Caenorhabditis elegans: one gene and its partner. The protein of the gene in region 1 purifies or fractionates together with the protein of each later gene. This does not show direct contact. Each region holds a gene or a part of one and is shown in the gene's direction. Other genes may lie near its edges. The genes, in order: myo-2 and mlc-3.

What was found.
Region 2: the proteins of myo-2 (region 1) and mlc-3 purify together in Caenorhabditis elegans (affinity purification with mass spectrometry, with the first as the bait; one large-scale study listed by BioGRID). This does not show direct contact.

Annotation. Positions count from the first base shown.
Region 1 is NC_003284.9:12,459,412-12,477,630, forward strand, and holds myo-2 (Myosin-2), read left to right. Parts: upstream 1-8,649; 5' UTR 8,650-8,737; coding exon 8,738-8,800; intron 8,801-8,910; coding exon 8,911-9,039; intron 9,040-9,095; coding exon 9,096-9,236; intron 9,237-9,285; coding exon 9,286-9,760; intron 9,761-9,815; coding exon 9,816-9,997; intron 9,998-10,045; coding exon 10,046-10,205; intron 10,206-10,465; coding exon 10,466-11,757; intron 11,758-11,809; coding exon 11,810-14,346; intron 14,347-14,392; coding exon 14,393-14,543; intron 14,544-14,590; coding exon 14,591-14,881; intron 14,882-15,066; coding exon 15,067-15,348; intron 15,349-15,394; coding exon 15,395-15,535; 3' UTR 15,536-15,937; downstream 15,938-18,219. Other genes in the region: Nuclear hormone receptor family member odr-7, read right to left, coding at 1-11, 518-684, 730-817, 867-1,344, 1,895-2,228; T18D3.5 (uncharacterized protein), read left to right, coding at 4,407-4,501, 4,617-4,725, 4,775-4,966; cdf-2 (Cation efflux protein cytoplasmic domain-containing protein), read right to left, coding at 5,358-5,531, 5,576-5,682, 5,994-6,099, 6,181-6,364, 6,635-6,788, 6,836-7,045, 7,113-7,225, 7,332-7,366; F45E6.1 (Serpentine Receptor, class Z), read right to left, coding at 16,248-16,511, 17,190-17,336, 17,381-17,471, 17,524-17,653, 17,698-17,845, 17,899-18,030.
Region 2 is NC_003281.10:5,559,468-5,574,060, forward strand, and holds mlc-3 (Myosin, essential light chain), read left to right. Parts: upstream 1-5,557; 5' UTR 5,558-5,664; coding exon 5,665-5,683; intron 5,684-5,853; coding exon 5,854-6,065; coding exon of another isoform or gene 6,066-6,107; exon of another isoform or gene 6,108-6,349; intron 6,350-7,206; coding exon 7,207-7,390; intron 7,391-7,444; coding exon 7,445-7,491; 3' UTR 7,492-7,540; downstream 7,541-14,593. Other genes in the region: rpc-2 (DNA-directed RNA polymerase subunit beta), read left to right, coding at 191-280, 330-612, 910-1,104, 1,376-1,754, 2,214-2,772, 3,291-3,435, 5,039-5,212; nspb-12 (Nematode Specific Peptide family, group B), read right to left, coding at 8,847-9,093, 9,269-9,282; molo-1 (MOLO1 domain-containing protein), read left to right, coding at 14,527-14,593.

The DNA of each region.
Region 1 (18,219 bases):
TGATAGTTCTTCTGAAATTTTATGATGGGGTTTTTTAACTTAACAGTTTTCTGTGTAGCACACAGGCTTTATTGAGTCATACTGGTTTGAACTGAAGCATTGACAACGAAATAAAATTAAACAGTGTGTTTTAACATTTACAAGCATTCAAAACATCAAAACAAATCATCATCAAAAATGTAGTAGCGATAATTGTTTTAATATGATACTTTGAAAAAAGTTATAAGATGGTTTAAAGTCAGAAAAAAGTAATCCTTAAAGCTGCGAATATTACAAAAATTTTTGACGCGCTTGACAAATTGATTTTTGTTTCAATTCTGTTCATTTAACTACAAAACAATTAAAATTAACCTTCAATCGCTGCGACACGCAAAGTTTTTAAATCAAAGATTTCAGCTAAGCTTATCTAATATTTTAAAAAACCGTAAAATGTTTTTTTTTGAGACGTTTTCTAGAGTTCTCAAGTCTCAAACAGCAAAAGGCCATCTAAATACACTTGCATTATGAGCTTTCTTACCTGAAAAACGCAGCACATGCGGCGCATGTACGGGCTCCAAAGTGAAGCCCGTTAGCATGAGTTGACAAACACACTTGACAGTCATGCAAAGCACCCGGTGGCTGAAACTCCATTCTCTTTCCGCTAGCATCAAATTTTCTGTAATCAATGTGCCCGTCGATTGGTGGCTGAAATTTTTGGTGTTTAGATTTTGTTAATTGTGAAGAGATTACAGTTCTCATTTCTTGCTTGAAGTTTGTGCCCATGTCAAGTGGTGCCGGATAGAATTGTGGATGAAAAGGTAAAACGTCTTCTCGCATTCTAAACTTATCAGTTGATATTTTACAACTGTCTTTAAAAGTCGATCTACCTGGGCTGCTCAAATGATTTCTCCGCTAATAATGGAGGTGGAAATGTAAATTGTTGCGGTTGTTGTAGCTGTTGGTCTGATTTTTTGAGATTTTTTAGAGTTGAATCGTCTGAAGACTCCTGTTTAGGAACTGCTGTGAAATCTACATTTGCGTCAAATTTCAGTTCAGAATCGTATTTAACAGGGTATTCCACAGACAACACTGGTGGCTTATCCTGGATGTTTTCCGAACTGTGTTTGATTGTACTTTGAACCGTGTTTTCAATGTCCTTAGGTTTTGTAGAGTTTGTATTTGTTGAAAACGGGTGAGGAGCATGTGTCAAATTGAAACCATCCATGGTAGTCATTGAATTGTGCAATGGGAACGACTGTGCAAATGCTTGGCCTGTGAACTGAGATCCGAATGGATTAGGGAAGAATGCGTTTCGTTGGAAGCCATTAAAACGCTGGTACTCGGTAAAGTCTGGGAATTGAAGTCCTGAAATTCAAAAAATGAAGATCAGAAAATAAAGAAAAGATATATATCCAGAAACTTTTATCCTGAGCTGGGTAAGTATTTATTAATTTTCCCAAACTTAAAATATGACAGAGATTGCAGCTCTAGTTTGAAGTATTTCAAATGACCGACCATTTGCCGCATTTTCTCAAGAAACACTAGCAGCTTTATAACGAACCATACTATCTCGCAGCTTTTCTCCCAATTGTAGTATCTTTTAAATCATCTCCTACTTTAACCAACTTTACTCAACTTTTCTAAAGTTTGCAGTGGGCATTGCTAAAGTTGCTCAATTTTGGAATGGGCATTGCTAAAGTTGGTAGAGATTTTTCGGCAAATTGGTGAGTACTTTTAGCAATTACTTTTCGTTTTTTTTTTCAAATTATATGTAAACTGAGTGATAATGTACTGATCGATCCCACTTACAAAAAATTTCAGCCATACAATTACGAATTCTTGAAATTTTTTGACTTAAATGGAAATCAATAAAAAACGAATCACAGCCCTAGTTTTGTTCTGACAAACATCTCACCGATTCTTGGAAAGAAATGAGTCATGAACGGAGCCGTTTGTTGATGTGCAGCATCATTATCAAACTCTCCTGGATTTCCATCAGTCTGTTCACCACTTGGCCGGCCACCGAATGCAGGAGGAAAAGGGCCCCATGGCTGTTGAGGAACGTTGTTGTTCGGTTGCTCCAATTTATCCGTCATAGTCTTGATGAGTTCAGTTGAAATTCTAAAGTTTGGAAAAATGCCGGGTATGCATTGAAAGTGTGGAATCAACATTTGACATGCCATACAATATGAACCGTACATCAGTCCATACGAATAAATTAACAATCCCTCAGTGTCCGGTACTATCATTTTTGAAAGGAAATAGCTGTAATATATTGTAAAAAAATGTTGTTATGCCGTTTTCAAAAGAAAGAGTAAAACCAGAAGATGTCAGTGTTATTGAAATAATTTAACAAGACCTCCAGTGTCAATTTGATCAGAATGAACTTTTGTATCCAAATCTCAAAAGTGCATTCCAAAATAGATATCGTTTTAAAGATCTAACTGGTTCCCGATATCTCAAAACGCCGAGAATCTGTTAGATTATGCAAATTGTATCTACCGTAGCTCAATCAGAAACGGATTTTTGTGACAAACAAAATGGCCAAAATTTGTAGTCGAAGATACAAATGGTTTTAACATGTGAGTAAAATTTTTTAATTCGTTTGGTTTAGTTTTCAGAAAAATGATAAAGATTTTTTGAGAATTGAAAAAACACAAAGAATTCAAAGAAGGTTATGAAAAAAACGCTTTGATTTTAAAACAAAAATGAGAATGTTTAGTTTTATAAGGTAACCTTCATTTCCTTTGCTGTTTTAATAATAAATCGTCTTAAATATTACTGTTAACGGTGATGAAATGTATACTTAATAACTAAATCAGGTTTTCTGTTTAATGCTAAAAATGTTTTGTGGAGCATTTTAACACTGTTAGTAAGCTGATTTTGTGCGCGGTACAGGTATAATCATAACAGATCATAATAATTTTTCATGATCAAAAGTTGGATAGAAGAAGGGACGACTCAGAATTTGAGTTTACAAAATCAAAAAATTCTGAGCCATTACTTTACGATTAGGCTTTTTGGAATTAAGGTTGGGATGAGTCTATAAAGTTTGTATTAACCACACAAGTCTTCTAACACTTGGTAGTTTAAGAATTTCTAGCAGAAAATCTAACATCAACCTAGAAAGAGATGAACGAATATAAACTTGTTCGAACCATGAATGTGTCGATTTATATGATCTCGGAAGAAAAATGTAATATTTCGATACATTTTCTTGTATCTTCCTCCCTATTTGGTTACAATCCAGGATGCCATTTTGCAGTACGTATACTTCAATTCTTATAGTCACACAGACAAAAATTGGCATTTACACGGGCGCACAACAACAAGAGCAATCACAATAATTTGTGGACAAACACAAAATGTTGTACGAGCGGGGACGGTAGCGGACAATAAAGACAGAATGTTCAAAACTGACCGGAAGCTGACCAAACTGGATACACAGTTTTAGTATTGATTGGGATGGAAACTGATATTTTGTTATTCAATACAGCGGAAAATAGTGTAGGAGTCAAATTGGTGATAACTCGAAAACAATCGCAGAAGATGTGTGAAGAGGCGTGGCGAGCACCTACCGTAGGAATAAGGGGCTCAGTGAAGGTAACAACGTCATCTGCCAATCATGAAGTTTCTGAAATAAATTATTTCTAAATTTTACACATTGATTGATTAGAAATTATTAGACTTAACAATCGGAGGTGGTTTTTTTCCCGAAACTTGACATCACCAAACATTTCATAGACTACAACTTTGCACAATAAACTTTAATACCAACGTTTTTGAACATATCAGTTATTCTGATTTTTTATATATTTTTACGTGAACATATTTTTTGTCGGTAGTTTTATTTCACTAAATGCCAACAAGATAGTGACGACAACTTGGAAAATCATATTTATTTTTTGATTTAAATCTACAAAAATGTCAAATTTTAAAAATACTTCGAAACTGTTGGGAGACTTCTGGCAGTAATCAAAAAAAATTTAGCACACTGACAAGAAGGGCATCTAAGGTGTGGAATCAAATAAGCTAGTTTAAAATTATTTTTTTATTGCAATTTCGTTTTGAGTACTGTAAAAATTGTTATAAATAAATTTTGCATTTCAAAATATTTGTCAACTTCTGTTTACATCTTTCTGATTGAAAGTTAATATTCTTCAGCCAATATTGACAACCCTGAAGTAAGTTTTTTTAAGTTTACCAATTACTTTATCAATTAAAAAAAGTGCTTTACCGCATATTTTTGAAAGTTTGTATTCCATCTTTCGAAGTTCTATTTATTATAGCCTATAAAAATTAACAGCTTAACTTCAGTTGCCTATCAGTTATTTTCTTCAACAAATAAACAGTCAGAGACTATTTGCGGAAATGTCAAAATGGCGAAAGCTCAGCATTGTCCACATATCCTCGGTAGTTGATTTGAAATGAGAAAATTGTGCAATTGTCTCACCTGCCTGCTTATTATAATAATCCTTTCAATTACACTGGCTAACGCTCAAGATGAGCAGCACTCCCCTAGGTAATTCATTACATAAAATGTAATACATTTATACATTTAACTTTTCGTCAATGTTCTTTTGAACCAATATGTTCATAATTGTTTTCGAATAAATAAATTTTTGAATCTGTTCCAGAGAAAACGAAGCATCTCGTGACAACTCCGACGTTTGGCTCGTTGTAATTCTGTGTCTTTTATTCTGCTTCGCATTACGTCATATGAACGACTTTTACGTCGGTGAATCGGTTTGTTGAATCACTTTGTATCATCGAAAATTTCAACTCATATTTTCAGGTCACGTTGGTTGCAGAGGGAGAATTTTCTCATCGGTTCAGTCGGAAACAAACTAATAAACATTTGGAACGTGTTGAAAAAGACTTCAATGACATGTTCCAGAAACTTTGCGAGAAATATGAAAGAGATCTGGATTCAGATGGATGCTGCGATTATTATGAGGAAAACAAACCTTCCGAGAAAATTCCTTGAATATTTGATTTTGTTTTTTTTTAGTTTTTAGTTGGGAACGTTAATAAATAGTGTTGTTCTAAGGGAATTTGTTTTGTTAAAAGAACATGTGCAGTTTTTGTTTTACGTCTAATATATAGCTACAAAATGTTTTGAATTTTGAAAATTTGAAATAATTTAAAAACGTTGGATCATTAGTTTTCAAAAATCTAAAAGGTTATGATCTGAAAATAAAATTTAAGCAATTCTGGAATGAATGAAACAGGAATGAATGAACAAGAATATCTTTTGTGCTGTTATTGGTTTTATCAGGGAGTCGAAACATTTTTTTTTCAAACAAAAATTGACAACAAATACATAAATAAAATTCAAAAATCTCATTCAATAATAAAATGTAATCACATAACCCTCCTTATTTTGTTGGGAAATCGCACTTTCCGCAATCCGACCTATTTGCTCCAAACTCCTCAATTTGAATTGTAATCTCATGTACATTATACGTTTGTTTCAACATTTTTCGAGTTTCGCGTAGAATTGACTGAGATTGACTATTGGCGTCAATTTCCAAGTGTACGGAGAGTGCAATCTGGAAAACAATTTGGGTTAATCCGCTTTGAGTGTCATGTCTACCTTGTCCATCGTCAAACTCCAAATTCTCAAGTCATGAACCTTTTTAACACCTTCTATATCTTCAAGGGACGAAAATACTTTCGCAAAGTCAATGTTGCTAGGTCTACCTGAAAATTTTAAAAGTTATGGAAATCAGCGAGAATTTTGGGAATTCAAAAAAGTTAGATAATATTATAAACTGAATTTTTGAAAATAAAACAATTTTGTTTTTTTTGTTCCCGCCTTTCGAAAATTTTGAAAATTTTGCAAGGAAAGAGTAATCTGCTTAATTTGAATGAAAAACAGGTTTTTGTCAAAACTGCTGAAATCTCAAGGCAATAAAATTTTTAAAATTATTTTTTTTTTCAATAAAAAAACATTATTTTGATACTCCGCTAAAAAGCTAGAAATGTTGTTGCCACTGAAACGTATCACTGACCTTCCAATAAAACAATCATAGCATCTCTCAATATGTAGATAGTGGTGCATAGCACAATAACCGAGAAAACAAGTGTACAAATTGGATCAATAATAACCCAAGACGGCTGAAACAGTGATCCATTGTGTTTGAAAAATTACAGAACATTTGATAAGACGTCATTGTTTGCCGAGAAAAAAACACTCACCTGGAAATAGATAAAAAGGGCAGCAACAAGAACGCCCAAACTTTGTAAAAGGTCTCCCAGAACGTGAATAAAAGCTGCTCGGACGTTGATGTTATCGCCGTTGCCACCACCATGAGAGTGACCATGAGAGCTTCCGCCTCCGTGAGAATGTGAATGACCACCAAAGTACAACAATGCAAGCATGCTTAAATTTTGATTTTGAATATCAATTAAGATACATATGTCACATTAGATTTGTTTCGAACTCAAAAAAATTTCTTTGAAAACCGTAAGTCCGTGACAGCCTAATTTTTAGTTAAAAGAAAATAACATGGACAGACATTTTTCTGACATGTCAACATTCCTGGGGCTCCCACCCGGATAAAAGTTCATGCCAAATATCGATTTCAAATCGAAGTAAAAAAGTGTATACCAGTTAATAAAGCTATCAGACTCGTTTCATAAAAACACTTACACCAAGTTTACAACCACTCCAAGAGCGGCTGTCAAAGCCATAATTCCTCCTTCTACTTCATAATCTCCGCTGACAATTCTCATAATTGCGAGAACAACTAATACTCCAGTGACTATCCAAATAAGGAAAACTGAGAAAAATGCTCCCAAAACTTCTGAAATTCATTTCAAACTATGTCGCTCAATTCTTCCAACTACCCACCGGCTCTATGAAACCCAAAGCTCATTTTTTGCGATGGTGGCCGTCTTGCAATGTACAGAGAAAACAGCGAAATGAGCACTGACGCAAAATCAGTGAGCAAGTGTGCGGCATCTGTGACAATTGCGAGTGAGCCCGCGAGAACACCACCAATAACTTCGCAAACCATAAAAAATAGGCAGAGCACGACGGTGAGCCATAAAATTCGCGTTGCTGAAACAAATAGTTTGAAGAAGGTTTCATTAGGACTCGAGTTTGGCAGAAATTTTAAAAGCAATACCTCTCCGATTGCTATCATGTGAATCTGTTGAGTCAGCTTCATCGTGGCAATGAAAGTTATCATAGGTGACTGTGGTTTTTCTACCTTCGTCTGTATTATAAATGTGAGGAACTCTGTAATACAAAAAGATCTCATGTTTTTTCTTTGGTAATACGTCATAGAAGCACAGGAAATCACAACTCTGATATAAACGAACATCAACTACATCACAAAACTAACCCATTTTCAAGTAGTGGTGCTCGTTCAGAAATCATTATGGATTATGGAGAAAAGGAAACCGATTAGGCCAATCGATTTTGTTTTGATAGAATTGAAGACGCAGAATAATTGTGTTGTGTATAGTGTACGAGAAAATGGAGCAACTTGTATATGGGCACTGTTATCATTATTGAATAGCGTGCGGAGGTTTAGAGAAGGAAGTTGTGTGTTATCAATCATAAACTAGAACATGTCTCGAGGCATTTGAATTGGGGGTGGTGGACAGTAACTGTCTGTAATAATAATTACTCCTGACCAGGTTGCAATTCGAGTTTTGATAAGCATAATTATACCTTGTACATTGTGGGTTTTGTGCTGTGGACGTTTTATTGTGACATCCCCATAAGCTACAAGAACAAAAATGAAATGTAAAAGTATTGAAAACGTCGTACATTTTATATCTGAGTAGTATCCTTTGCTTTAAATGTCCATAAAACTAATTTTATAATCAATAAAACAACGTTTGTAAATCAACTGAGTTTACAAGTAGAGACATTGAGGGATACTTTCACTATGCTAAAGTGATAATCGACCAAATAATAACTTCACTTTGGTATTTATTCCTGTCTTATAAATGTTATGTATGAATTAAATTCATATGCATATGGCTCACTCTGACAATTTTTAATAATCTTCCAGATCAATATTGACTACCGATGCGGGTGGTCTTTTGCTTTGAATTCTGCTGAACTTTACACCCCGAACAGCAATGTGTGCTTCAGCCTAAAAAAAAGTAAGTGTGTTAATCAGTGCCCCCGATTCTTCATTTTTTGCCCCTCTCTCCCGTTTCGTCGGCAAAAGAAGAGAAAATAAAGATAAGTCTCAAGATAGGTTGGTAATCGCTAAAGTGGTTGTGTGGATAAGAGTAGCAAAATGGCAGGAAGAGCACTTTGCGCGCACACACTGTACTCATTGTTCTGGATAAAATTCTCTCGTTGTTTGCCGTCGGATGTCTGCCTCTCTGCATTGAGCCGGCTTCTTCACTATCTTTAGTTAACCTAAAATGCCGTTTCTTTTCTCGTATCCCCACTATCCCGTTGAGGTTCTCTGCTCTCTTCGCTCCCTACCGCCAGCGAGCAACTATCCGTGGGGGCGCCTTGCTCGGAAGATGGGGGGGAAGAAAGAAGATTTTTGCTATTTGCACTTGAGAAAGAGACTTTTCCTGCGTCGATGGTTAGAGAACAGTGTGCAGACACTTTTCAGCTACCTAGAATTACAATTGGATATCCCCGCCTCCCAATCCACCCACCCAGGGAAAAAGAAGGGCTCGCCGAAAATCAAAGTTATCTCCAGGCTCGCGCATCCCACCGAGCGGTTGACTTCTCTCCACCACTTTTCATTTTAACCCTCGATCGTCAGACACAGAAATGGATTACGAAAACGACCCAGGATGGAAGTACCTTCGCCGCAGTCGCGAGGAGATGCTCCAGGTACTTTTATAAAGCATGGTTTTTTTGTCTAAAGAATGTTATAAGCTTGCTTAGTTTAAAAAAAAAAATCATCTTTATAAATTTTCACTTTTTTACTTCCATTTTTAAAGGATCAATCCCGCGCATATGACTCCAAGAAGAACGTCTGGATCCCAGATTCGGAAGACGGATACATTGAGGGTGTCATCACTAAAACCGCTGGAGATAATGTAACTGTGTCCATTGGACAGGGAGCCGAGGTAAGTGAATTTTAAAACCACTTATTTGTCAATTATTATGTTGCTTTTTTCTGTAGAAGACTGTCAAAAAGGATGTTGTCCAAGAGATGAATCCACCAAAATTCGAGAAAACCGAAGACATGTCTAACCTGACTTTCCTTAACGATGCTTCCGTATTGTACAACTTGAAAGCTCGTTATGCTGCTATGCTCATCTATGTAAGAACTTTGTTGTTATAGTTTTATGATTTAACATATTTTCTTTTAGACTTATTCGGGTCTTTTCTGTGTTGTCATCAACCCATACAAACGTCTCCCAATTTATACCGATTCCGTTGCCCGCATGTTCATGGGCAAGCGCCGTACCGAAATGCCACCTCACTTGTTCGCCGTCTCTGACGAAGCCTACAGAAACATGCTTCAAAACCACGAAAACCAGTCTATGCTCATTACCGGAGAATCTGGTGCAGGAAAGACTGAGAACACAAAAAAGGTTATCTCTTACTTTGCCGCTGTCGGTGCTGCTCAACAAGAGACCTTCGGAGCCAAGAAGGCCGCCACCGAAGAAGACAAGAACAAGAAGAAAGTCACACTTGAGGACCAGATTGTCCAAACCAATCCAGTTCTCGAGGCTTTCGGTAATGCCAAGACTGTCCGTAACAATAACTCCTCCCGTTTCGGAAAGTTCATCCGTATTCACTTCTCCAAGCAAGGACGTGTCGCTTCTTGCGATATTGAACATTGTAAGTTTGAAATCATTTCGAATGTTTGACCTGTATATATTTAAAAATTTTCCAGATCTTCTTGAAAAGTCACGTGTGATCCGTCAAGCTCCAGGAGAGCGTTGTTACCACATTTTCTACCAAGTCTTCTCCGATTACTTGCCAAACCTTAAAAAGGACCTCCTTCTTAACAAGCCAGTCAAGGACTACTGGTTCATCGCTCAAGCTGAGTTGATCATTGATGGTATCAATGACAAGGTAATACTGATCAAAACATGACGAAATGCAGATATTGTTTTCTTGTAGGAAGAGCATCAGTTGACCGATGAGGCCTTTGATATCCTCAAGTTTACCCCAACTGAAAAGATGGAGTGCTACCGATTGGTTGCCGCCATGATGCACATGGGTAACATGAAGTTCAAGCAACGTCCACGTGAAGAGCAGGCCGAGCCAGATGGCACAGATGGTAAGTTAGAAACGGGAAGCAGTAGATTTTTGGATTCTTGGAAACTTTCCTTCTATTTACTTAAGATCTCATGAGAGCGTGGGATGAGCGGGACAGGCATATAGAGTGGATTTAGCGGCGGGGTTTAAAGTTTACCTACTCATCCCCATCGACTCTTCACTTTTTGCCTATGACAATGATTTTAAAAAAATGTTTCAAAATTCCAACACTACATAGGATAACATAACATAGCATACGTTATTATCACAAATTCTTTGCAGATGCTGAAAGAGCCGCTAAGTGCTTCGGAATTGACTCGGAGGAGTTCTTGAAGGCTTTGACTCGTCCACGTGTCAAGGTCGGAAACGAATGGGTGAACAAGGGACAGAACATCGAGCAGGTCAACTGGGCCGTCGGAGCTATGGCTAAGGGACTCTACTCCAGAATCTTCAACTGGCTCGTCAAGAAATGTAACCAAACTCTTGATCAGAAGGGAATCTCTCGTGATCACTTCATCGGTGTGCTTGATATTGCCGGATTCGAAATCTTCGACTTCAACTCTTTCGAACAGCTTTGGATTAACTTCGTAAATGAGAAGCTTCAACAATTCTTCAACCATCACATGTTCGTTCTTGAACAAGAAGAGTACGCTCGTGAAGGTATCCAGTGGACCTTCATCGATTTCGGTCTCGATTTGCAAGCCTGTATTGAACTCATTGAGAAGCCACTTGGTATCATTGCTATGCTTGATGAAGAATGCATCGTTCCAAAGGCTACTGATTTGACCTTAGCCCAAAAGCTTATTGATCAACATTTGGGCAAGCATCCAAACTTCGAGAAGCCAAAACCACCAAAGGGAAAACAAGCCGAGGCTCACTTTGCCATGCGGCACTACGCTGGAACTGTCCGTTACAACTGCTTGAACTGGCTTGAGAAGAACAAGGATCCTCTTAACGACACCGTTGTCACCGTTATGAAGGCTTCCAAGGAGCACGCTCTTATTGTTGAGGTCTGGCAAGATTACACCACCCAGGAAGAGGCCGCTGCCGCTGCCGCCAAGGGAACTGCTGGTGCAAAGAAGAAGGGAAAGTCTGGATCGTTCATGACTGTTTCTATGCTCTACAGAGAATCTCTCAACAAGTTGATGACTATGCTTCACTCTACTCACCCACATTTCATCCGTTGTATTATTCCAAACGAGAAGAAGGCTTCAGGAGTTATTGATGCCGGACTTGTGCTTAATCAGCTCACCTGTAACGGAGTGTTGGAAGGAATCAGAATTTGCAGAAAGGGATTCCCCAACAGAACCCTCCATCCAGACTTTGTTCAGCGTTACGCTCTTCTTGCTGCCGATGAGTCTATCATTGGAAAGACTGATGCCAAAAAGGGATCCGCTCTTATGCTTGCTCGTTTGGTCAAAGAGAAGAAGCTCGAAGAAGAGAACTTTAGAGTTGGTCTCACCAAGGTCTTCTTCAAGGCCGGAATTGTCGCCCACTTGGAAGACTTGCGTGACCAGAGCCTTGCTCAACTCATCACCGGACTTCAAGCTCAAATCCGTTGGTACTACCAAACAGTATGTCTATTTAATAATACAAAAATGTTCAAATAATGATTTTTTATTACAGATTGAGCGCAAGCGCCGTGTTGAAAAGATCACAGCTCTTAAGATCATTCAAAGAAACATTCGCAGCTGGGCTGAGCTCCGCACCTGGGTGTGGTTCAAGCTTTACGGCAAAGTCAAGCCACTCGTTAACTCTGGAAAGATCGAAGCTCAATATGAGAAGCTTCAAGAGACTGTAGCTACTCTTAAGGACACTGTGGTGCAAGAGGAGGAGAAGAAGCGCCAACTCCAAGAGGGTGCGGAACGTCTCAACAAAGAGACGGCTGACCTCTTGGCGCAATTGGAGGCTAGCAAGGGAAGCACCCGCGAAGTTGAGGAAAGAATGACCGCCATGAATGAGCAGAAGGTTGCCCTCGAAGGAAAGCTTGCCGATGCCAGCAAGAAGCTCGAAGTTGAAGAAGCTCGTGCCGTTGAAATCAACAAGCAAAAGAAGCTTGTCGAGGCCGAATGCGCTGACTTGAAGAAGAACTGCCAAGATGTTGACCTCTCATTGAGAAAGGTTGAGGCCGAGAAGAATGCCAAGGAGCACCAGATTCGTGCTCTTCAAGATGAAATGAGACAACAGGACGAGAACATCTCTAAGCTTAACAAGGAGCGCAAGAACCAAGAAGAGCAGAACAAGAAACTCACCGAGGATCTCCAAGCTGCTGAGGAACAAAACTTGGCAGCCAACAAGCTCAAGGCTAAACTCATGCAATCTCTTGAAGACTCCGAGCAGACCATGGAGCGCGAGAAGAGAAACCGTGCTGATATGGACAAGAATAAGAGAAAGGCCGAAGGAGAGCTCAAGATTGCTCAAGAAACCTTGGAAGAGCTCAACAAGTCAAAGAGCGATGCCGAAAATGCTTTGAGACGCAAGGAAACCGAATTGCACACCTTGGGAATGAAACTCGAAGACGAGCAAGCTGCTGTTGCTAAACTCCAAAAGGGAATTCAGCAAGACGAGGCTAGAGTCAAGGATCTTCATGATCAACTTGCCGATGAGAAGGATGCTCGCCAACGTGCTGATCGCTCGAGAGCCGACCAACAGGCTGAGTACGATGAGCTCACCGAGCAACTCGAAGACCAAGCCCGTGCCACCGCTGCCCAAATTGAGCTCGGAAAAAAGAAGGATGCTGAGCTTACCAAGCTCCGTCGTGATCTTGAAGAGTCTGGACTTAAATTCGGAGAGCAACTCACTGTTCTCAAGAAGAAGGGATCAGATGCTATTCAAGAGCTTTCCGATCAAATCGAGCAACTTCAAAAGCAAAAGGGAAGAATTGAGAAGGAGAAAGGACATATGCAACGCGAGTTCGATGAGTCCTCTGCTGCTCTTGACCAAGAAGCCAAGCTCCGCGCTGACCAGGAGAGAATTGCCAAGGGATACGAGGTCAGACTTCTTGAGCTTCGTCTCAAGGCTGACGAACAATCCCGCCAGCTTCAAGATTTCGTCTCCTCAAAGGGACGCCTCAACTCCGAGAACTCCGATTTGGCCCGCCAAGTCGAAGAATTGGAGGCCAAGATCCAAGCTGCCAACCGCCTCAAACTCCAATTCTCCAACGAATTGGATCATGCCAAGAGACAGGCCGAGGAGGAATCCCGCGAGAGACAAAATCTTTCCAATTTGTCGAAGAACTTGGCTCGTGAGCTTGAACAGCTCAAGGAATCCATCGAAGACGAAGTCGCTGGAAAGAACGAGGCTTCTCGTCAACTTTCCAAGGCTTCCGTTGAACTCGATCAATGGAGAACTAAGTTCGAGACCGAGGGACTCATTGGAGCCGACGAGTTCGATGAGGTCAAGAAACGCCAAAACCAGAAGACTTCGGAGATCCAAGATGCTCTTGATGCCTGCAACGCCAAGATTGTCGCACTCGAGAATGCTCGCAGCCGCTTGACAGCTGAAGCTGATGCCAACCGTCTGGAGGCTGAGCACCATGCCCAAGCTGTCTCTTCATTGGAGAAGAAGCAAAAGGCATTTGATAAGGTTATTGATGAATGGAAGAAGAAGGTCGATGACCTCTACCTCGAGTTGGACGGAGCTCAACGCGATGCTCGTCAACTTTCCGGAGAAGCTCACAAACTCCGTGGACAGCACGATACCTTGGCTGATCAAGTTGAAGGACTTCGTCGCGAGAACAAATCTCTCAGCGACGAGACCCGTGACCTCACCGAATCACTTTCCGAGGGAGGACGTGCTACCCACGCTCTCTCCAAGAACCTTCGTCGTTTGGAAATGGAGAAGGAAGAACTTCAACGTGGATTGGACGAGGCTGAAGCTGCCCTCGAATCTGAGGAAAGCAAGGCTCTCCGTTGCCAGATCGAGGTTTCCCAAATCCGTGCTGAAATTGAGAAGAGAATCGCCGAGAAGGAGGAGGAATTCGAGAACCACCGCAAGGTTCACCAACAAACCATCGACAGCATCCAAGCTACTTTGGACTCCGAGACCAAGGCCAAGTCAGAGCTTTTCCGTGTCAAGAAGAAGTTGGAAGCCGATATCAACGAGCTGGAGATCGCCCTCGACCATGCGAACAAAGCGAACGAAGATGCCCAGAAGAATATCAGGTAATTTATAAGTTTTTTTTTTGTGTACACCAACTTTTTCATTCAGACGCTACTTGGACCAAATCCGCGAGCTTCAACAAACCGTGGATGAGGAACAAAAGAGACGCGAAGAATTCCGTGAGCACCTTTTGGCTGCCGAGAGAAAACTCGCTGTTGCCAAACAGGAGCAAGAAGAGCTTATTGTTAAGCTTGAGGCTGTAAGAATTTTGTTTCGGAAAATCCCCTTGTATGTGATTTTTTTCAGCTTGAGCGTGCCCGTCGTGTTGTCGAAAGCTCGGTGAAGGAACATCAAGAGCATAACAACGAACTCAACTCCCAAAATGTTGCCCTCGCTGCTGCCAAGAGCCAACTCGACAACGAAATTGCCCTTCTCAACAGCGACATCGCTGAGGCCCACACTGAACTTTCCGCATCCGAAGACCGTGGACGTCGTGCTGCCAGCGACGCCGCCAAACTTGCTGAGGACCTCCGCCACGAGCAAGAGCAATCTCAACAACTTGAGAGATTCAAGAAACAACTTGAAAGCGCTGTCAAGGTATGTTCGCTTTAAGAATTCGCAGTTTTTTGGCCGTTCAGTGTAAAAGCGATATTTGTTTGTTTTAGAGTGTGCATCTTTTCCCACCGTCGCAACTACTTATCCTTTTGCGCGTCACAGATTTAAAGATTGTGTAAATAGAAAAAAAACGATCAGTTATATCTTTCATCCAATCCATCTTACAGGATCTCCAAGAGCGTGCCGACGCCGCTGAGGCAGCTGTCATGAAGGGAGGAGCCAAGGCAATCCAGAAGGCTGAGCAACGTCTGAAAGCCTTCCAGAGTGACTTGGAAACCGAGAGCCGTCGCGCCGGAGAAGCATCCAAGACCCTTGCTCGTGCTGACCGCAAGGTCCGCGAGTTCGAGTTCCAGGTTGCTGAGGACAAGAAGAACTACGATAAGCTCCAAGAATTAGTTGAGAAACTCACAGCCAAGCTCAAGCTCCAGAAGAAGCAACTCGAGGAAGCTGTATGTTTCATAGTCGATAAAATTTCAATTGTAAATATTATTTCAGGAGGAGCAAGCTAACAGCCATCTTAGCAAGTACAGAACCGTCCAACTTTCCCTTGAAACCGCTGAAGAGAGAGCCGATTCCGCTGAGCAATGTCTTGTCAGAATCCGAAGCCGAACACGCGCCAACGCCGAGCAAAAGTAGATCAACTGCTCTAATTCCATCTCGTTTCTCTCTTTTCTTTCAATCTCTTTACCCGTTTCTCTTCCCCTACGTCCCCCAAACCTACCACTGCACAGTAACACATACACATTCAACGTGTCACAATAAAAGCCCATCAACACCTTCTCTGTTGTTTTTTTTCTTCAAATGCATTTTTTTCACTTTGTTTAATAATTTTTACGCATCGGATTTGTAGGATAGTGGAAATTTGTCCTTCAATGCTTCAATTGATTCGACACTTCTCAATATTTTTGATCAATAAACCATTGATTTTCTATTTAGAAGAAGATCACTGTAAATAACACCAAAAACATCACAGCAAAAAAACTCCCACTCAATTATATTACTGTTTTTATTGAAACTAGAATAAATTTGAAAATCTTCAAAGCATACACAATTAAAAAAAACGAAAAAAGAAAAAGTCCCGTTGATTCTCAAACTTAAATTTTTAAACTTGTCTGAACCATGTTGTAAGTTTGTAAAAGTTTCCCAGTTGTCCTCGAACAGTTAACCAGGGAGATCCTGTCAGCTAGTTTAATATTATTTTCAGCTTTGAAACTAACGTTTCGTGTCACAAGAATATCAAAAAATAAACTTTATTAAAAATATCTAATAATGGTTGAACCACATATTTTACAAGAAAAATTCAAACATATTTACACTTTGTGATTTTAATGCGTTCATAAAAAAAATATCAAATCCTTGTTGGCACCATACTGACAACATGAGACATTGTTGCAGGAGACCTTTCCGCTGTATAAACTTCTCCTCCAATAATTCGTGTGCCGCGTTGACATGTTAAGATAGCAACAGCCACTTTTCGTTTGTTGAGACTACCAATGATCAAAAATATAGGTGTCATGAATGATATAGAAAACGTCATGAACGACTGGAATGTGATGAGATTGATGTTCGTTTGTCCACTTGTCAACACATAAAACTTTGCAACTGTGAAGACCTGCAAATTTAGCATTTGTTTGTGTTGCCTGGTTTAGTTTCTAATCTATCACAGTGCGTGTCTGATTTAGAAATGAACTCAGTTTCAGCTGCAGACTACGACACAATCACAAACTGAGCAACATTTTGATAACTATCTGGAAATAGAAAACAGTTTTTAGAGCTAGTAAAAAAATTGAAATTGGCATAAGTTTTCTCTAATAAAGCAGGTAAAACTATAATTCAAGTCGAGTGTAAACCTATAAAAAATGCGGACTGTTTTTCTAAAGTCAAAGGTATATTGAAGAGAACCTAACAAAAAACTGTAAATTATTTAAAAAAAATTGTAAAAACACAATAAAACTTTCAGATTTCTAAACGTTTGATGTCATTGTTAATGAAACAAATTTGAAATTTGATAGAGCGCATTTTTAAATAAAATATGAAATGAGCATCTCGTATGTACAAAGAACACCTTCCATTTATTGACTTTAATTAATTTTTCAACATTGCAGAAATTATGAATTTAGCTAAGGCAAAGCCCTAAGAAAAAACAAAGCAGGTTTCTGGACGAACAATTCCGCAACATTTTTTGGCCATTAGAAAGATAATTTTCAGCATGATAAAAAACATTCCTCTTCTAGGTATCATAATTATGCACGTCAAAACATAAATTGCTCGGTAAGACTAAAAAACTGACCATTAGTAAAATAGCAATTGGCACTGTTTGCAGCAATACAGTAACGTGCGCAGACATCCCCGATCTGGATCTTTTATCGATGTGGCGTATTATTATGATGCTCAGCAAAAGCATAATAAGAGACAAAACCATCGTGATCATCTCAAGCTAAAAACTATCATAGTATTCAGAGTATATCGAAAAATTCTCACCCATGGAATCTTGTTTGAAGCAAATATTTTGTTAATTGCAGAAATGATTGCAACAAAGTACAACATTGTCATGTTGAATGTCAATCTGGCTCTGCAAAGTTTAGATATGTTAAATTTTTTTGACATGTTTCATCAGTAATTACCCCGTCATCAGCTTTCTTCCGAGTTTTTCAATAGTAAGAAGCATGAATCTTTGCATGGAGGAAATGAAGATAAGGTAGTAAAATATTGTTGCAACAATTAGAGATCCATGAATTAGTAAATTTGTGAACACTGTAAACAATTTCTGTACATTTAAATTTATAACTTTAGCTTACGCTTGTATAAAAAACGAATCCATTCAGATTTTCCAGTGAACCCGTCGGTTACTCTTATTATCAAAAGTATCATCAAAACTATAAACGATCCAACAATGTGAACAGAGCTTAATGTCACCAGATTGAAATGAATCGCATAATATGATCTCTAAAAGTGCACCTTATTAAAAATGTACTAACGCAGAATAATGCTAAACTCACTTTGTCGTCAGTCCTTTTTGTCATGTAGTACAACCAGACGACTAAAACAAATGGTACAACACCAATACATGAAACTGTGAAATCTAATTCATGCTCAGCATCTTGCTGAGCACTTGAGTTGCTAGAACTCATATCCAAGAGTGATTAAACTACCAAGGGAGTGTAAGAACCACAAATGTTTTGTGATTGTCAAATATCAGATTGCAATTTTGGAGCAAAGACTTGATCAGCCTGTTACGTTTCAAAGCCTTGTTCAAATACATCTACTTATTCTAGATTTCACCTGTCCCGTTTTGTAAGGACATTTGACGTAGTAAGTTA
Region 2 (14,593 bases), on another chromosome or scaffold:
GTTTTGAGAATGCTAGTTTTGAAAAAATCGCATATTTTAATCAATTTTTATAAATTTCTAAAATAAATTATCAATTTCATAAAAATTAGATTTCAAATCGAGTTAAGGTTTGACAATTTTTGAAAATTACTAGATCCATTTTTTTGTGTTTTTTCCTAAAAAAAAGGTTATTTTTATCGAAAATTTTCAGTGAAAACACGTTGATCTTCTTAAACGGAGTGCTCATTGGAACAGCTGTGGATCCAGAAAGAGTGGTGAAAGCCGTCAGAGATTTGAGAAGGTTTCAACAAAAAAATGTTGCCAAAAAATTCATCGAATTTCAATTTCAGAAGTGGACTCCTGTCAGAATTTGTTTCAGTATCCCGTTCTCTAACCAATCGTTCTGTTTTCATTTCATCAGACGGTGGCCGCCTGTGTCGACCATATATTATTGTCAAAAACGGAACTCCAATGCTCACACAGGCTCACGTGCAGGAACTGAAAGAGGGAAAAATGATTTTTGAGGATTTTGTTGATGACGGAATTGTCGAATATTTGGATGTAAATGAGATGAACGATGCGTTGATTGCCGTTTATGGGAGAGAAATTGGCCCAGAAACTACACATTTGGAGGTACGTTTTTGAACTTTGTGAATCTAAAAATGAAAAAAATTAAATCGAAAACTGGTTGTTCTTTCCTGTAAAGAAAATTCAAAAAATTTGGTAAAATTTGTCTGAAACTTAAAACTATGTGAAAAAAGTTTAAATTCTCATTTTTTTAAATATAAAAAATTGAAAATCAAATTATTTAGAGCTCTAAAATTCTATAATTCAAGGAAATTCCAACATTTAAAGATTTTTATCCTTAGTTTAAAATAAAATTTGCACTTTTCAGTGTCTGAGCTATTAATAATCTTTCAAAATTTCCAGATTGAGCCATTTACTCTTCTTGGAGTGTGTGCTGGTCTTATTCCATATCCACATCATAATCAATCTCCACGTAATACTTATCAATGTGCTATGGGTAAACAAGCAATGGGAACAATTGCCTATAATCAACAGAAAAGAATTGATTCAATTATGTATCTTTTATGTTATCCACAGAGACCACTCGTTAAGTCAAAGGTTCGTTAAAATTGAAATATTTTAAAATTTATGAAAAAAATTTGATTAAAAAATGCATGTTTCATTTATTGAACTAATGTTTGTGGAGAGATATCGTTAATAATCCTGAAAATAAAAATAAATCAATTTCCTGAATTCCGAAAAATAAAAAAATCAAATCGGAAGTATCCGCTATATCTTTCTAATCAATTATTCTATTCAGAAATTTTTAATTTGTTTTTCTTTTAGAAAATTATCAATTGTTCAAACTTTTTACATCACAATTTTCCAGACAATCGAACTGACAAACTTTGAAAAACTGCCGGCCGGCGCGAATGGAATCATCGCAGTGATGTCATACAGTGGTTACGATATCGAAGATGCTCTTGTGCTCAATAAAGCTTCACTGGATCGTGGTTATGGTCGTTGTCTGGTCTACAAACATGTGAAGGGAACCGCCAAAAAATATCCGAATCAGACATTCGATCGTCTTCTAGGACCAGCATTGGATCCGAACACGAGAAAACCAATTTTCAAGCACAAAAATCTCGATCAAGAGGGTATTGTATTCGCCGGAGCACGTATTATGCCGAAACAGACGATTATCAATAAGCACATGCCAGTTGTCAGTGGAGAAAGTGGTCCTGGAGCGTCGGCTTCTGCCAATACAAGTATGTTGAAATGAGCATGACGAATTTGTATAAGGAAAATAAAAACGGAATGTACAGTTTCGAGAAGACATCTATTTTTTTAAAAGTTTTACGAAAAAAAACACGAAAAATATAAAAAAAAAAGAATAATAAACAATTCCCAGACCAACCTCGTAAAAATGAAAGCGAGTTTTCAACAGAAACCCTGTTTTAAAACTTTTTCCAAAAAATCTGAAGTATTTATAGCATTTTTTAATTTTTACCAATTAAACAAATGTTTTAAAAAAAAACTCAAAGAAACTGTCTCCGTTCTTTTTTGCGAATATAAATTTTCTAACTTTTTTACGTTCACAATTAAATAAAACTTGACATTTATTCCGTTCAAATATTCAATTAATTTAATTTAAAACGAAAATTTAAATATAAAACTCTGAAAAAGTAAAAAAAAAAACGTTCACTAACAATTCTTTAAATTTTCAGTCGGAATCGCTGGACGCCAAGTTGACTACAAAGACGTCTCGATCACGTATAAAACTCCAACTCCATCATATGCGGAACGAGTTCTTCTTACCTATAATGAAGATGAAGCTCATTTATTCAAAGTTCTTCTTCGACAAACCCGTCGGCCAGAACTTGGAGATAAATTCTCATCTCGACACGGACAAAAAGGAGTATGCGGATTGATTGCTCAACAGGAAGATATGCCATTTAATGATCTTGGAATGGTGCCAGATATGATTATGAATCCTCATGGATATCCATCTCGAATGACTGTCGGAAAATTAATGGAATTGTTATCTGGAAAAGCTGGAGTAGTGAATGGAACATATCATTATGGAACAGCATTTGGTGGAGATCAGGTTAAAGATGTCTGTGAAGAATTGGCTGCTTGTGGTTATAATTATATGGGAAAAGATATGCTGACAAGTGGAATTACTGGACAACCATTATCTGCTTATATCTACTTTGGACCAATCTATTATCAGAAGCTCAAGCATATGGTTTTGGATAAGATGCACGCCCGTGCCAGAGGACCGAGGTGTGGAGAGATTTTGAATTTAGATAATGTCTTGTCTGGAAATTCTGAATTTTGGAAAGAATTTTCAATTAAATATTTAAAAATTAAGTTTAGCAACAAAATCTGAAAAAGAAAAATTTTTAGAACAGTTAACTCTGCATTTTCCAACTTTCCTTTAAAACTTTTGATGTAAAACAATGAGGAATTGCAACATTTTTTTAATTAGAAAATTTGGTATCAATCAAAATTCACTTATTTTTATCATGGTTAAAATTTCGAAAAAAGCCAAATTGAAAAAGTTCTGAAAAAGGAATTGACAAAATGCTCGAAGCTTAGGAAATTAGGGGAAAAAAGAATCAATTTTTCATAGTGGAAATACATTTTTTTCAAATCCAATTCGCGGAAATGTTATGCATATTTTGGAACAAAAAAAACCATTTTAATTTTTCTCACATTTTTTAAATTAAAAAAAAAACTTTTTTTAAAAATTTTTTTCAATTTATTCTCAGAGTTTCTTTTAAAAATCTATAAATTTTCAGAGCCGCATTGACTCGCCAGCCAACAGAAGGAAGATCACGAGAAGGAGGTCTACGTCTTGGAGAAATGGAACGTGATTGTCTCATTGCCTATGGAGCATCGATGCTGCTTATTGAGCGTTTGATGGTGTCATCAGATGAGTTTAAGGTAAATTCCCTTACCGAGTTTTTTTTAAAAGTTTGCTACTTTTGTGTGTGTGCGCGCAATTTTTGCTCATCATTACACTAGCCGTAACACTCTCAAGTGGTTCTTTTTTGCGAAAATGAGGAGCGAAACTGTTGCGGGAGAGACTGGGAGAAGCCTTGCGTGGGTTGACTTTGCGGGTCGACTTTTCTTGGAAACTGGGTTGACGTTTTTTGGAAAGGTTCTTGAAAATTTTTGATTTACCGCAGAGAAAATTATGGATTTTGTTTGATCATGAGAGAATACATTTCCCGACTTTTATCTGAAAATATCGAAAAAAAAGGTCGGAAACCGATTATTAATTTTTTTTTGAACTCCCACTTTTTTATAAGAACAGAGAAATCGATTTTAAAAAAAGCATTTTCCCTAAAAACTTTTTAAAAAAAGCAAAACTTTCTATTTTAATGGCTCTGAATCTCTGTTGCTCGGAAGTTAAAAAAAATCAAATTTTCGGTGCTATTCGAGCAAGATCCATTCCCAAATAAAAAAAATCTCTCACAATTCAGCGATATTTCGGAGTTTTTGAGAACATTTTTTACTAAAACCGCCTTTTCTTAGTACAGTCGTACCGAAAATAATATTTTCTGCACCTGTCCCAGGTGGCAAACAAGAATCAGAGATCTAAAGACTTGGAAGTGAACCTCACATTAAGATCCCTCCAGGAAACCTTCGGAGCTCTCGTCTTGATTCGCTTCTTCCTTCCTACTTTTCGTTTTTTTTTGCCCACAAAATAGTCATCGAAGAAGAAGAAGAAAAGATGAGATTTTTGCCCCGATGCGAGATGCCTGGTGAATAGTGTGATCTTCGTGGAGAGATGTCTCGCTGATCTCTCCTTGATTGCCATTTCACTATATCTTCCACCCCGAAGTCTGTGGACTCCACTGATCTCCGCATCTCTCGTCATTGAGTAAAAGCATTGGCAGAAGAGAGAACAGAAGAAGGAGGAATAAGAAGGAAGAGATATCTCCACAGTGGGTGCCTGTGCTTTTTCTTCCCGTCGGCTGTGCTCCTAGGAGTGGAATGCCGAGAAAATGTGCGATTGAAGTGGCACGCGGGGAGGATAGAGAAAGAAAATAAAGATATTGAAAGGGAGAATAGAGAAACATACGTTTACAACGAATTAATCGAGTTCGGCAGCCAACACGGGAAAAATGAACTTGTGAAGATGTGTTAAAACACAAAGATCTTATTAATTATTGAAGAGGGAGGAAATAAAATAAATTAACATTTCGAGCATTGGGGTACTGTAGACCTATTCCGTAAACAGAGAAACAAAATGGTTTAGCAGAATTCGCGGACTGAGGCGAGAGGCAGGCGGAGGTTGCCTTAAGGTCAGGCAGGCAAGCGTTTTAATGCAAAAGTAATGGATACTTGTTGAGCCTTATAATAATGTGTCGATATTAAAAAACACAAGTATGGATTTTTAACATAAAAAAGTTAAAAGACGCATGCTTAAATATTTTATAGGATAATTTGGTACTCCTTAAAACTCAGTTTGTATAAAAAAACGATTCGATGAGAGTATAATAGATTTCCAATGTAACTTAATAAATTTCTTGTTTTCCAGGTCGACGTGTGCACTGGATGCGGAGTAATCGGCTCGAAGGGTTGGTGCCAAAAGTGTCGTTCGAGCAAGTCAATGGCGAACATTAAGATTCCGTATGCGTGTAAGCTGCTCTTCCAGGAACTTCAATCCATGAACATTGTCCCGAGGCTGGACTTGGCCAGATACACCGAATAACCTTGTTTTGTAATTGTTGTTGTTGTTGTTATGCTTCTTCTTTCCCCTTCCCAAATCATTTTTTAATCTATTTTTTACTTGTTCCCCGAAATTTGAACATTTTTTGTTGTTTTTTTTGTCATACATTCATTCTTAAACTTATCATGAAAATTTTCTAGAAAATACTTGTTGAAACAGTACGCCGCGCTTTCTCGCTCTCACATCCCACATCTCGCCACTCTATCTCTTGAGCATTACATCCCTCTCTCTATCTCTCGGGCTCCCGAGGGGTGAAATAGTGTACTCGCGCGGGAGTGCGGGAGCTCAATATCCGCCCCAATCCGCCCCCATCCTCTACGAAGAGTCACACACAGTTTACACTTGGGTTGCCACTGCTCTGTCGCCTTCACTCAGTTTCCACACTCAGTCCCCCCTGCTCTGCCGCCGCTGCAACACTCACACATCATCACATAATGGCTCCACCATCCCAAGGTGAGTAATTTTTTAAGCAATGTCCCCAGCTCTTAGGGATACCTTATAAGGTTTTAGGACTTCTAAAACATTTTATTTTTAGTTTTTTTTTAATGTTTCAAAAATATATCCAATTCCCCAAATATATCCCTACAATCCCAAACATTTTTTCAAACTTGAAATCGTTCTAGACGTGCTCAAGGAGATCTTCAACCTCTACGATGAGGAGCTTGACGGCAAGATCGACGGAACCCAAGTCGGAGATGTCGCCCGCGCCGCCGGACTTAAGCCAACTCAGGCTATGGTGACAAAGGCCGCCGGACAGGAGTTCAAGCGTAAGGGAGAGAAGAGACTTACATTCGAGGAGTGGCTCCCGATGTACGAGCAACTCGCCAAGGAGAAGGTACGGTATTTTAAACATCTTGCCTGTGCCTTTAACCTTTAGCTGAGAGTTTTTTGAGATTTAGGGATCTAGGGGCCTCGCGCCAAACCTTTAACTCCCGCACCGAGTGATAATCAAACAAAGAAGATGAAGCTTGAGATTTGTTTTATTTCAAGGTCTAAGTAAATATTGGATCTCAGAGGTTAACCCCATACAGTACCCCTAGCCGAAAACTTTTAAATCACAACTAAGGGTCTGAAAAATCTGAACATCCTCTTCCACCGGCACATGCCAGCCGATCCCTAGAACTTTAGAGAGATAGGCGGCGGCGGCTCCCGTGAAGCATGTGTGGGAGAGGAGCACATAGGACTCTCGAGAATCTCTCTTGGCACACACAAACACACACATAGGCACAGTGTAACAATAGAGAGCATCATCATTCTGCGTCTACTGGGTCCTTGTTGTAGATATTTGTATGGATAGGAAGTAGTAAGGAATAGGCAAGGGATCTTGAGTAAGGATCCCCATATACGGGTAAAAGAATGGAGTGAGTATATATGAAGCTTCTAGGAGCTATTGAGTTTTGGAAAGAGCTGCCAGCTCAGACTATTTAGTGGAGGTTTAAGGTAAAAAATCCTGTAGATCTTTGATTGAATTCAACTAGGGCATTCTCTGGACCCACAACCGTCAGTATTTTGAAAGCTTTAAGGCAACCAGTTTCTTAGAAAAGATTCAAAACAGCACATGGAGATCTTGAAGAGCCAATAGAAACCTACGAACTGAGCTCAGAAGACTGGACAACTCATAAAGTTTGAAATAGCAAGTTTGGCCAGATATTTTGGGAAACACATTTCGCTTTCGTTATTAAATAGTCTGCGAAGTTTACCTGAGCACATATCTACTCAAATTTGACAATCTGAAAGTCAGTGTCTAACGAATTTTGGATAGAATCCTAAGCGAAAATCAGAGAGTTCTCTGGAGCTTCGGGATGGAATTAGCTGATGTTCGAGGTTACTGTCACCTGAATAGGGAATGATTTATGTTTACTGGAGTTAGATGCCTACCTTAGGGTCCGCATGTAGAGCAGATCATCATTCATTTAACATTGAGATTATAAACTGAGAAAATTGTTCTTTCCAATATAAATTTCCAATTTCTTCAGGAGCAAGGAACCTACGCTGACTTCTACGAGGGACTCAAGGTGTTCGACAAGGAGGAGACTGGAAAGATCTTGGCCGCTGAGCTCAGACACATCCTCTTGGCTCTCGGTGAGAGACTTTCCGCCGATGAGGCCGATGAGCTCCTCAAGGGAGTCGAAGACGGAGAAGGCATGGTCAAGTACGAGGGTAAGCCGATTTTTTTTCTTCTCGGAAATTTTTTTTAATTGAAATTTATTTCAGATTTCATCAAGAAGGTTTTGGCCGGACCATTCCCAGACCAGGACTAAATTTTTGGATCTGAATCTGTGCTACACCCATTATAATGTTTAAATTTTGAAAAAAAAAACACCATCTTCTCTTACCCAAATTTTTTGCTCCCCTTTCCCTTCTCTGCCTTCTTTCTCCCCGTTCCAAATAACGATGTTTTACTTTTTTGTCTATAAACCCATCGTCTAGTCGCTCGTTTTCTTCTACGCTATACACGTAAGAGATTCCACTCGCGTGCGCGCATTCCGTTTTCTGATCCAGAAAACGTTTTGCACTTTAAAAATCAGCGCGCGGTTTTCTCTTCTTTTTCTCCAACACATTCAAGCCTGTTTCTATGATCAAGAAATTTTCTTTCTTTCTTCATTTTACACTTTTTTATTCAGAAATTCATTCGTTTCTTATATTCGTTCTCCTTTTTGGATTATAATAAAAAACCTTTTGAATAATTATGAAATGGAAATTTTGGTATAGTACATGTAGTAAGTTGAAAGGCTGCTAGAAATATCAGCTTTTGAGTCGATGACCTGATAAAAACAAACTGCCAGTTTGATTTTTATCAATTGATTTATTTTCCGTCTACTGTGCAAGAACGGTAGCTTCCAAAAAATAAGAAATTGCCAAATTATTTAAACAATTTTTCGTATATATTGTTAGCTGACAACTATTTTTTATTGTATCACCACCTAAATATAGTTTTTCAAAAAATATCACTCAATCCTAAAAATTGGTGAAAAGAAACAATTTCACCTTAAAAGCTTTCAAATTGAAGTTAGAGTAGCGAAACTGTCCACTTAAATATACTAAAGACCCAAAATATTGATTTTTGTAATGAAATGAAACTCTTGGAATTCTGTCCAAAATTTTTTATGACGGTTAAAAATTTTAAGAAGAAGGGCTAAAAATAGCTTAAATATCAAATTTTGCCAACTTTTTCGTATAGAAGCTGCCAGAGTTTCAAAAATATTATCATCAAAGAGTAAAATTATTTATTTTTGAATGTTCTGCTTGTTTACTGAATAGTTGCTAAGAAGTTAATGCCATTAGTGTAGAAAACTAGTAAAGCCTACTCAAACTTGAAAATCATCATTTACTCTTCCCCCTACAAAAAATTTCAAAATCAAAGTTTCAAACTAGTTGATCAAGAAAATTAAAGAAAATATAATACTTTTAGAAGCTGAAAACAGTTTTGCAAAAAATTGCATTTCTAGTTCAAAAACTGAGAGCTATTGAATTTTTGTTAGGTATTCCAAAAATGAAACAAACACCATTAATTTGCAATGATACAATTTTATTAATTTTTTTGAAAAAAGCAGTTTCAGATCGATTGATTTGCAAGATTTACATAAAAACGTTCGTAATTTCGATTTCCGACAATTCAAGCGGTGGTTGGCTTCTGATTGTTAAGAAGAGCAGATGGACGAGCAAATGCACGTGGAGCAGCATCATCCTTATTCTTGTTTGATCCCCAAGCCCAGACTGATGGATAGGCTGCAGCGGCTACGTATGGAGAATAAACTGATGGGTAGGCGTAGGCAGATGGAACATAGGCGGCCGAGTAGGATGGGACAACGTATTGTTGATGGGATCCGACGATCATGGCGCAGAGAAGGACGGCGACGAAGCTGGAATTTGAATTTTAGGCCTGATTTTAGTTGAAGCCTATTTCTAGGTATTCTGCTTAAGGTTTACATCAATCTTACGTCTAAACCTAAAATAAGCTTCTTGAGCATTAACCTAAGTCTAAGACTCAGCCTATGCCTTAGCCTTTCTAAGCCTAACTTAAAAAAGATGACTTACCACTTGGCGAACATATTGAATTGAAGTGACTTGAAATGTCAGTATTGAACTTTCCGATATTCTACGTTTTATACTCTACCAAACCTTTACAAAAACTTGTACATAACCAGTTATTTTCATTATTTCTTTATGGAAATCTTCTTGCACAAAGAGCTTCTATATTTACTCAAGTAGTTGACACATGCGGGAAGTCTTTGGCGGGAGAAACTTCTAAAAAAAGTACGCAAACGTTTTGTTACTAATATATACAAATAATGTAATAAACTAGTTATTGGATGATTTATGGTGTCATAAAGTAGAAAAGGGCCAATTTTTGGGTGTACCACTGGAAGATCTTTGAAAACCAAAGTAAAAAATTTTTAAAAAAGTTCGATCTCCCAGAAACAGTTTACACAATAATTTTTGAAAATTCATAGTGAACGAGTATTGAATTAAAAAAAAACTACTTCATTCGAATTTTTCTTCAAAGTTATTAATCCAAAAACTAAAAAACTAGAATGTTGGTCTGGAACCTGAAAATATTTCAAAAATGTGTTTTTTTTTCAAATATCGCGACCAATAATGTTCCAATCTTCAGAATCCTTTAAAAATTTTTTAATAAAATTTTAATTTAAAATTGTTTAATTTTGCTCCCAATTTTTCAAGATAAAAGTTAGGACTCTGTACGTCAATTAAAATAATTTGCTCTAAAACGTTACAGAAATTTCAGAAATTGCATCTCCTCAAAAATTATTTTTTTTGGCATAATCAAAGTTTTGAGAAAAAATGCAACGCTTTCTTTCACAAATCCCCTTCGTTTATTTTCATCTTTTCCAATTGCCCAAAAACAAGAAAAAACGAGATTCCCGTGGATTCTAAGAAGGAACATGATTTTATAAACAAATGAATGGATGTTGGCTGCCTTGAGCATTTATAGCATTCAATGCTTAATGTGGGAACTATTTAAGTACTTCCACAGTTGTGAGACCAAAACAAAAGATTTAATGTTATTTATGGAAATGATTGTGTTCAGTTGGGTAATTTTACCCTCTCAATCAGAAATAATTATAGTTATTTTTGATTAAAATAAATTCCCATTTTCTGCGATTCCAATTAAAAATATAAAACACTTATTTTATTATAAAACACTTGTTTTAGAAATTAGAAGACGTTGAAATAAAAAAAAATAATACTCCGGTAATATTTTTGCCGTACCAAAGTGATATTCATAAAAATTACAATAACCGATCTAAAAAAAATTTCCAAAGAATTATTCGATTCATTCACAGAACTTTTATTTGTCAATATCAATTCAGAACCCTTCCATCTCACGTCTTGACTTACCAAGTCAACCCATATTATTATTGGTTGCCGCCAAAGTGTGCTTGCAACTTTTAGAGTCAGGTGACCAGATCATGGTCATTGACTTGCTCCGTGAGCTTAATGTTACAAAAAGCTCAAAAAACTTGACAGGAAGGTTTCACAGAACGGGTAGGTTCATATTTTGACAGAGCGGCAAAATTTACAAAATTTCTTTATTTATTGAAATGTTTAAGAACGCTAGCAAATTTTCAGAGAACATAAAATCAAAGATTTATATTTTTAAAACCGTTCGGTTGTTGTCTTTCACTTAAAAGTTAAGTGTTGTGTATTGAGCGACTGTTGTGTATTGAGCGAGTGACAAGGAGAGAAGAAGTTTATTACAAGAGAGTGTAAGAAGTAATGAATTATAAAGAGAGGTCGCTTACGCGATAAGTTCATGATGACCCAAAGGTCACGTCTGTATAAAGTTCAGGTTTACGTTCCGTCCACAACATTAAGATTTAAGCATAAAATATTTTTGGCACCAGACACGTTCAAAAATTTCCGATCGCAAAAATTTCAAAAGTGGAAGTGTGGAAACTTTTCGACAATCTGCAATACTTAAAACAACTATACTGAAGAAACAATTTTCTTTGGTAAATTTCCGAGCATTGCCGAGCTGCAAGGTTTAGACAATACGCCAGCAACTTGCGATTTCAATATTTTTTGGCAACCTAAAATTTCCGCAACCGTAGAAATCGATAAAGTTAACAAGATCCTGTGAACGTTTTGAAATTTCATTTTTTTTCCGCAAACCTCACAAATTCTAATTTCAGAAAAGTGAACTTGCAACTTTGCCCTTTTTAACTATCATCTACTCTCGTGTCAATCTTCCCCATTTTCATCGTTTTTCCCATGATATTTGTAATAATCTAGGTCAGGAGCAATGTTTCTGTCAGGTGACAAGATCATGTAGGATATCAATCACTGCTGCTCCTCACTGTTCACGAACCGCCGTGCTCGGCGAGTCCCCATGGGACACGGGGAAGAGGACGAGGGGACATTGCTGGAAAAACATGTCACTAACAGAGATTTCAAGCCAAGTAATAGTCACACAAAAAAATGGGACATAAACACCCATTCTTTTGGCATGTAGGCAGTGGGCTTCTATAATCCCTGCTCGTCTTCCTTTTCTTAGGACGTAGTAACCATATTTTAATCCAACCAATTTTTCATTTTCACATACAAGAGAGAAAAGTAATCCCACTCGTCCGATTGAAAGTCTATATTTCATTTTTCGAATTTTTCAATAACATCTTGTTTGGTTTCTGGAAATTCCAGTTGCTCAATGCTTGTGGCAACATATTTCAAAAGTTTGCTCAATTTTGAGTTGACCTAATTTATTTTGTAAACTTTGTTTCTCATTGTGCCCATTCGTTAGAAGTTTGAGTCCGTTTTGCTGTAATTTTTTTGGTAATTTTTGGTAATTGGTAATTGTTGACCAAAATTTTTACAGACTGTATATGTTCCAGAAAGGTACAAAAAACCAATTTTGTTGTCTACATAACCACCTACGCCTGCTTTCTCAAAAAGAACATATGTTCTCTATTAGTTCTGAACCCCATCTGTAGGTTACCGTGATTTTTCTTTTCATTGTCTTCACTTGAACCTCTGAATACGTGCATTTTCTGTGAAAAATGAGCAAAAAAGAATGCTCAATCTTTCATTTATTTACCATGAATCACTTCATTATTTTTTTGATATTCTCACATTATTCTCCTTTTCTCTCATTTTTCTTCCGTTTTTCACCCATTATTCAGACATTCCAAAGGACCCTCTTAAGTTGTTTGGAACACAACAAGCTTGTCAATTTGTTCCGGCTTCATCCTCATCTTTTCTCGTTTTTTATAACAGTAATTTGGTGAGAGCACAATGGAATGTGTGCTCTTTTCTCTTTCGGGAACTCATTTATACTTCGTTGTAAAAACATTTGAACTTTTGTGTCGTTTTTATTCCGTCTAAAAGCTTTTCGTCAACTTTCATGTGTGGCAGGTGTGTTTACGAGCACATGCCACGTGACGACTCCGCCCATTTTGAGCCGGTAGGACATTTTTTGATTGCTGGAAATTTTTTGGGTTCTGGGTTTGTCGGACTTCATAATTTCGTTTTTTTTTAGTATTTCCCTTTTCAACTGAGTTTTTCCTATTTTTGTGAAATCCTCATCGTTTCTTTTTATTTGCTTTAAATAGGTTTTATGAATTAATTTATGAATTTTTTATATTTCCAAATGAAAGCATCAATTTTCAAATTAAAAGGAAAAAAATTCTAAAAATTAAGGTTTTTATTTATTTATTTCTAGATTTAACCAGATTTACTTTTGTTTCATACTATATTTTTTCAAAATCCATTAAAAAAAGAATGCTCCTTTGAAAGTTTGAAAATTTTTCAATAAACGTTCGCTAGATTTTAATTTTAAAGATTGGCATCGAAAATTTCGAATTTAAATAAATTCAGTAATTGGGAAAAAGGAAACATTTTCGAATTTTCTTGACCTTTTCAGATTTTTAAAAAATGTTTTGCCCAAACGAAAAATATTTTTACAATTTTTGTTTAACCAAATTTCTGTTGAAAACTAGAGAAAAACGATTTTTTTGAAATTTTCTGGAATTATTTTGGAAACTTCCAAAAAAAAACAATCTATAACTATCCAAAACTCGTGTGGTTTTTTTTAAATTTTAATCCAAAGATATGGAAAAATCATTAAATATCCGTACAAATCTGGAAAAAAATTCCGAAGAAACTTTTGAACGAAAAATTTCCGAAATACATATTCATTTTCCAAAACTTGCACAACATTTTCATAATCACTCTCTTCCCAAAAGTGCACGTGGTATGCAAAAGGACCACCACAGGAATGAAAGAGTCCCCCCTCATTTCCTTCACTACCTCCTGCTCCACCCCCTCCTGCCAGTCATCATTTTCTTGCTTTTCCTCTAAGCTTCTTTGCTAATTTCAAAGGAAGGGAGCTCCCGTCTATTGCTCCCGTGCTCTTTTTCTCTTTTTGCCTCAACAAAAACTCAAGGCTTCATCTCAATTTTCAGTTGTAACAAATCTCTCTGTCTCTCTCGTTGAGCATCAGCCACCCGCCGCAGTTTTTCAAAATAACCTATATTATTATCATATTTTTTCGAAAGTTGTTTGGCGCCTTTGAATATGATACTTTGTTTGAATTTTACGTTTTTTTTTAAAGAATAAGAGTTTCAACAAATCTTTTAAATTTTCTAAAACATCTTTCATATCAAACTTTTTTGAAAAATTATTAAGAAATTATCAATTGACTGTGAGATTAGATGAAAAATTCAAATTTTCGTAAAGTAACTGATATTTATCATAGGAAACTTTTTTTCGAGCCCAAAATGTTTAGTTCGTTCATAAGTTAAGCACAAATGAGTTCACCTAATATTCAATTTTTTTGTTCATTTTCATTAATTTACATTTTTTGAGCTGTAATTTTGAAATCACATTTTTTTTCTTAAAAAAATGTAGCTCTTCAATTTTTTTTTGAAACGGCATTTGATTTTCCACACATTTTTGAAATAAAAATTTTCCAGGAAAAAACTTTTTTGGTTAGTTTTATAGTATTTTTCGTAATTATAATTATTCGAGCCGTACTGTGAGAACTGTGAGAACTTTGATATCTGAAGGGAAAATAATAACATTTCTTCTTAAATTTGATCATCATTGAAAATTTTGAATTATTCTCCAGTTAAAAAAATAGGTGTCCCGTTTTTTGTTTACTTATTTTCTTCTTTTTCTGAGTATAAAAGCAAAATAAATATTTAAATAATCTTTAGATGTCTTTCTTTTTTTTTTAAATACTTTCGACCAAAAATTATAGACCATTACCCTCCCCTTTCTCTCATTTTTTACCTCTATTCCCCCGCAATAGAATATTTTCAATTAAATTTAATTTGCAGATGGTGGGTAATGTTCTATTACTGCTCATCTACCACATAACTCTTGCCACGTCATCACAATGGACAT